2 separate regions of the Mus musculus genome follow, and region 2 is reported to be linked to region 1. The links are microRNA targets in miRTarBase. Many come from high-throughput screens and were not tested one by one. Region 1 holds a microRNA gene; the other region holds the end of a gene's coding sequence.

What was found. Region 1 holds the annotated microRNA mmu-miR-181d-5p (AACAUUCAUUGUUGUCGGUGGGU, at 1,777-1,799, shown strand). A microRNA usually pairs through its seed, bases 2 to 8, with sites in the 3' UTR of a target mRNA and lowers its output. Matches are read on the target gene's strand: a 7mer-m8 pairs with bases 2 to 8, a 7mer-A1 pairs with bases 2 to 7 and ends in A, and an 8mer does both.
Region 2: the mRNA of Tulp3 is a reported target of mmu-miR-181d-5p. Seed matches in the 3' UTR shown: 7mer-m8 at 666-672.

Annotation. Positions count from the first base shown.
Region 1 is chr8:84,177,156-84,180,557 of GRCm38, reverse strand. It overlaps Mir181d (microRNA 181d), which reads left to right and starts at 1,771; the gene lies at 1,771-1,842. Mir181c (microRNA 181c) reads left to right here and starts at 1,597; the gene lies at 1,597-1,685.
Region 2 is chr6:128,320,139-128,323,540 of GRCm38, reverse strand. Tulp3 (tubby-like protein 3) reads left to right here. Exons shown (of 11, transcript NM_011657.2): 11 at 329-2,380. The coding sequence ends at 462. Among named protein-coding and RNA genes, the nearest start is that of Tead4, 21 kb to the right of the region's middle.

The sequences.
Region 1 (3,402 bases):
CACCTCCCATTATGTAAAGGACAAAAATCAGAGTTCTGCAGGGGAAGTAAGCAAAGTGGACTTACAGAATAAAAGAGGGGTGTCTGCAAGATGGCCCGCATTGCCCAGAGTGTCCCGTGTGCCTCATAATCCTCCATTTTAGCTTTCAGGAACCCCCTAAAACTGTTCTGAACTGGCAGCAGGCCCTTCCCCAGGGGCACAGTGGTGGTCTGTGCAAAGCGCCTGTGACCAGCTCATCTTCATCTGACCAGTCTAGACCTTTATTTCCTCAGGGCTGAGAGCTACCAAAGCAGGAGACCTGCCTTTCCCATGCAGGACCTCTTAATCCATGGCCAGAAAGAGAGGGCCCCTGGGGCTGGGAATGTGACCAGTTACCGGGCCCTGGGCTGAGGAAGCAGGGTTAGGGCTCTACCGGGAGATAGTGCTTCCTAAGTCTTGCTGGAGCCAGGGGCCAGGTTTGGGTCTGTAGGTAGGGGTGGCCCTTAAAAGGAGCTGAACTTCTAGGGAACTTCTAGGGGTGCCCTGGAACCACACTGAGGTGCTAGGCAGGGGGTAGGACCTAAGCTCTCAGGTGATTGAGTTTGGCGTTAGATCTAAAAGGGATGGTTTGTAGGAGGGCCATAGGGAACCCTGTCAAAGGCCTGAATTGGAGGGCAAGTCTGCAGTGGTGGCCTGGTACTGCACAGGCCGGTGCTAACCCTGCAGGAGTTTCACACAAGCATACTACTACATTTAGTGTTCTTGATCTGTCTTGTGTGACTTCAGGAGATCCTTGAGGGTCACCTCTCCCTCTCTGAGGTGTTCTGAGCTCAGTTAAAGCAAAAGGGAAGCCTCCCCCCCCCCCCCCGCACTCCCCCTCCCGACCATTTAGAAGCCTTTGGGTGGGGGTGGGGTGTGTCTGTGTATAGCCTTCTTTCACAGCTCACTGCTCTACTGGGTAGGGCAGTGGTGGTCTCAGAAACCGTCAAACTAAGTTTAGTGACCATGGGAAGGTGGAAAAGTTTACAATATATTGAAAGCCTTATTTATCTCAAGTTTGCTGGAGAAGCCCTGTTACATTGTATAAAAGTAACTTGTTTACGGCTCAGTTGCCCTATGCCTAGCCCAGGCCCAGACCAGAACCTGATGACCTACCCGAGTTCCCAGAATGGTGGCTAGAAAATCCCCACTTTGTATTTTGGCCTCAGTCTTTCCAACTGACCAGTGAGGGGAATTTGTATCTCTCAGAAATGCTTTGGAGGATTTTATTTATCACAGTACTTAGCCCTCATCAGGAATTCACTCTTTAGGTCAGGTTAGCCTGTAACCTTACTAAGGCCATCCCAACCCTCAGACTCCAGAGTGCTGAGATATCAGTTGTGAATGCATCCCTTGAATATATATAGCACATGAATTGAGACAGGCACATTATCATCTCTGTTGCAGGGGCTGCGTTTTTTACATTATGGTTTGTATTTGTGCTGCTTCTTCTGAGTCTCCAAAAAAGAATAACTGATGGCTGATTTTGTGAGTCAAAGGGGACCCTGGTTTCTCTCTCGTCCCACATGCTCTCTGCCTTGCTGGCCTACTCTCCCAACTCCAGTTATCCAAGAACTTGCCAAGGGTTTGGGGGAACATTCAACCTGTCGGTGAGTTTGGGCAGCTCAGACAAACCATCGACCGTTGAGTGGACCCCGAGGCCTGGAACTGCCACCCGTCTACCCCATCCCCACCCTGTAGACCCGGGAGAGCCCCAGGCAGCATCCCCTGCCTCAGGCCACAGCAAAGGTCACAATTAACATTCATTGTTGTCGGTGGGTTGTGAGGAGGCAGCCAGACCCACCGGGGGATGAATGTCACTGTGGCTGGGCCAAACAACACCATCAGGGATGGGAAAGAGGATAGAACCCTTCAGATTTTGCTTGTCACTTACTCCCCTTGGGGAAATGGGACTGGTGTCTGGGATCTTGATGGGCTGATTGGAATTGGGAAATAAACCCTGGAGGGTTAGGTGTTGGGGAGATCCTAAATTGGGAGACTCTGGGGGGATGATGTTTGCTCAGTGATGCTCTGCAGTGGGCAAACTGGTAGATGAACATGTGACAGATACATGGGCAGGTGGATGGATGAGCGGGAATGAAGTCTGTCCTAGCAGTGGTGACTCCTGTTTCTTTTTGAGCTCAGGCTGCAGGCTCCTTTGACAGGTGTCAGATAAGGGGGCTGGCACCTGCTGGGGTATGCCAGTGCAGTTTGTCTTCCTGTGCTTGAAGGCTCTTTCCCCTCCTGCTGCATTCCTAGGTTGGGGTAACCTTGAGGCTGCTTAGCTAACTGGAGGGGGAAGAGTTGGGAACTCAACTTGGTAAGGTCTTAAACCCAGGACAAATGGCTGAGGTGCCTATTCCTTTATCAAAGTTGAAGCCGCAGGCTGCCATGTTCTCGCAGCATCCCTCAGTTCCTTTAACAGGGTCCTCCTTGTTGACATATCTTGTCCTTTACCCTGAACTTCTCTAGCCAAGGAACTAGGCTGGGCTTTCCCTTCCTGCAGCTTCTCTGGTTCATATATAGGCCAACCTTTTTGGTTAGATGCTCCTTTTTTCTTTTGTCTTCTTTTTCTTTTCTTTTTTTGGTTTTTTAAGGCAGGGTTTTTCTGTGTAGCCCTGGCTGTCCTGGAACTCACTTTGTAGACCAGGCTGGCCTCGAACTCAGAAATCCGCCTGCCTCAGCCTCCCGAGTGCTGGGATTAAAGGGGTACGCCACCACGCCCGGCTTGTCTTCTTTTTCTTGTTCCCCTTTCCTTCATGCCTGGCTTAGTCTGCTGGTCATGTCCACTCTGGAGACTCCTAGGTGTCCTTGCCCCTGCCCCTGCCTGTAATTGTCCCTTTTATCTACAAAAACAAACCACTTCTCTACCCACTAGGAGCATTCTTTGTTTGGTTTAGACTGCAGGACTGAGGTGCGTATTTTACACATCAAAGCAGACCTGGCCTCCAGGTTCTCCCAGCATTCCTCAGTCCCTACCTGGCATACTCTGCCCCCAACCTTGAACTTTCTAGCCCAGGAGCTGGACTGCCCTCCCCCGCCCCCCCAGAGGCTCTTCCCTATATAATTCAGACATTTTGTTTTCTTCTTCTCTTCTGTTTTCTTCTCTCTTCTTCTCTATCGTACTTACACTCTTTTTCTCTTTTCTTCTTTCTTTACTTTAATTCACACCTCAAGACTAAGTTCTCCAGGACATGAAAGTCTGTTAGTGAAACCAGAGCTTTGAGACCCAGTTGTCATTTTCCTACCCCCAGCCCCACTTCCACACTCAGGCCTCCTTCCTAGGAATTGGGATTTCTGCATTACCCCACCTAACAAGAAACTCTTGTTTCTTGTTTCTTGCACGCCTTTAATCCCAGTACTTGGGAGGCAGAGGCAGGCGAA
Region 2 (3,402 bases), not on the chromosome of region 1:
TCCCAGGCAGGTGCTATACCACTGAGCCATTTCCCTGTCCCCCCCTCCCCCATTTGCCTATTGTTACCCACACCTACCTCCCAGTACAACCACATTGACCACCAACACAGTGTGGTTTTCAGCTTCCCTAATGCTGCGATCCTTTAATCGGTTCCTTACATCGTGGTGACCCCCAACCATACGGTTATTTTCACTGCTGCTTCATAACTGTAATTTTGCTACTGTTACGAATCGTAACGTGGATATCTGACATGCGGGCCCCGTGAAAGGCGTCTCGACCCACAGGTTGAGAACTGGCTCTAAGGAGTTCATCTCTTTCTGTTTGCAGCTGACTACATCGTCATGCAGTTTGGACGCGTGGCTGATGACGTGTTCACACTGGACTATAACTACCCACTGTGCGCACTTCAAGCCTTCGCCATCGGGCTGTCCAGCTTTGACAGCAAGCTGGCGTGTGAATGAGAAGCAGCAAGCAGGGGATTTCTTCACCACAGAGCCTTCAAGAGCAGAAAGCTGCTGCCTCTGCCCCTGCCCCTGCCCCTGCCCCTGCCCCTGCCCCTGCCCCTGCCCCTGCCCCTGCCCCTGCCCCTGCCCCTGCCCCTGCCCTAGCACAAGAAGAGCAACATTCTGCCCCTCTGGTGAATGATCCAGTGTGTGTGTGTGTGTGAATGTGCATGTGTGTGTTTGTTTATACATGCATACACATTCACACATGGATGCATGCTTCCACGTACTCGTTCATGCCTTCTCTGAACTTCAGAGACCTGGTCATAGATTACAACTTCTCATGTGTGAGAGATGGCTTAAAGCACAGGGAAGTAGACACCCAGGCACACTGGTGTCTCCTGATCGCACAACAGACTCTGTGTGGTGAGTGTAGCTTTCATGTGCTCGGGCACTTCCAACAGAATCAGGTTCTAATGATTTAATACTTGGGCCTCCTGTTTTGAAGGCCCTTTCAAAAGGGGGCTTTTCCCTTGGATGCCTTTAGCCCAGGAGCCTGCAGCCTTCCTCAGCCAATGGTCTGATAGTGTCTCTTGCACTGACCCCAGTCAGGTCCTTTAGCACAAAACAGCCATAACTAGTTGGTGCACAAAGAGTGTAGCTGTGTCCCAATAAAACTTTATTTACAAAGTGGGCATTGGCCTAGTTTGGCCTGTGACTCTGGTTCGCAGGCCTGCCTTGGCTGTGTCCCTGTCCTCCAAGGCTGGAGCATCTTCCAGGCTAGATGTGGAGAGGCGGGGGGTGGTTTACTTTTCAGTAGCAGCAGACTGACATTTTATTTTTATTTTTACTTTATTTTTTTTTCCCATGGATCTCTGTGTAGCCCTGGCTATCCTGGAACTTATTCTGTAGACCAGGCTGGCCTCAGAGATCCACCTGCCTCTGCCCCCCAAGTGCTGGAATTAAAGGCTTACACTACTGTGCCTGGCCATAGACAGACTCTTAAGAGGAATTCTTGCCGAATCTACTCTTGGTAGCTTTTGCCTCATGGAGATTATGGCTGCAGAGTGTCATATATCATCTTGGGACATGTGACACTAGTTTGTTCGTGGGTCTGAAAGGCTCTGCTGTCCCCAGCCTGCCTCTTGCTTATTCTCAGAGTAGGTTGGTGGGCAGCCATCTCAGAAGCATGACTGTGGCCAGATCTTCGGAATCTTTGCTCTCTGGAATCTTAATCTAGTGTCTCCTTAGAGGCAGCAAGAGTCTTGGTGAGGAGGTCACCTCGCCGACACTCCACAGGCTTTGCCTGTCAGCTTTGTCCTCCAGCCTCGAAACCTGGCCCACACCAGTGGAGACACTGCCCTGCATGCTGAGTCTTTGAGATCTTGAACATCTCGAACATCTCCCAGCGAATCATGACAAATTCCTCAAGGTCCCCAGCCTACAGTGTACCTGAACTTAAGAATTCAAAAACTTTGGGTCTACATTCAGTGGTCCCCCACTCTCAAACTGGCAACTGCTCCGTGGTTTTTCCTGTATGGAGGAGGTCCCTGCATCCCTGCATCCTGTTGCTCCATGCTCACAGCTGTGTGACGACTACAGCGTGAGATCTGGGAGGTGAGACCTGTGCTAAGGCCAGTGTCTTGCCTGTCCCTTCAGATGTCACTGTCTCTGCCTCTGGCAGGCGTCCCATCAAGTGCCTTGTTCATAAATGTGCTCTGAAACCTGACACACCTCTGCTTTCCCAGACGAGCCACCTTTGTTGAGTGAAAACTGCTCTCTGTCTCCACTTGAAGGGGGTGGGGCTATGACTTTCTGCCCAGCCTAGAGAGCTGTATACTCCCATTTCATGGACTCTGCTTGAGTGTGCAGGTTTTACATGAATTCTATTTATACCTTTTGTATGCCACATAAATAAAGATAATTTATATAAAGATGTCGCTTTCCCAGAATACCATCCCTTGGGTTTCTCCTGTTGTGTTCTTTAAGCTCTTTGAGCCAAGTAGCAGCAGAATTGGGTCTTTGGGGTGGAGGTGGGGGCACCACAGACTAAGAACCCAGTTTAGGAGGCAGCATAAAAGTGTCATACTCACGATCTTGGAGCTCTGCATGAATTGTGGAACTCAGCAGACTGCACTAGGGGCCCAGGATGGCCAGGCCAAATCATCTTGGACACTGGTCAGCCTCCTGGATCTAACAGTAAAACTGTGTGTGTGTGTGTGTGTGTGTGTGTGTGTGTGTGTGTTAGGATCTTGTGGCTATTCAAGGCTATACTGGAAAGCAGCCCAGGCTGCCTTTGAACTCACACCCCTCCTACCTCAGCCTCTAGCACTGAGACTAAGAGCTCTGTGCACATGTAATGGACTGTGTCACCTGATATTGATACGTGGAGAGAAAGTCTGCACTCACAGACCTTTCTAAGCTTTTACTCCTTGTTCTGGCTGGTTTTGTGTGTCAACTTGACACAAGCTAAAGTTATCACAGAGAAAGGAGCTTCAGTTGGGGAAATGCCTCCATGAGATCCATCTGTGGGGCATTTTCTCAATTAGTGATCAAGGGGGAAGGGCCCCTTGTGGGTGGTACCATCCCTGGGCTGGTAGTCTTGGGTTCTATAAGAACAAGCCAGGGGAAGCAAGCCAGTAAAGAATATCCCTCCATGGCCTCTGCATCAGCTCCTGCTTCCTGACCTGCTTGAGTTCCAGTCCTGACTTCCTTGGTAATGAACAGCAGTATGGAAGTGTAAACTGAATAAACCCTTTCCTCCCCAACTTGCTTCTTGGTCGTGTGTTTGTGCAGGAATAGAAACTCTGACTAAGATACTCCTGTTAGCAATAAAGACAAAAAAAAAAAAAAAAAAATCAAAAGCCCCAGCTGAGAATTTAGTTCCTAATAGCCTGATTTTTTCTTTTGCATAATTTTATATGACTAAAATTGTATTATGACCTTTGGGTTGTTGTT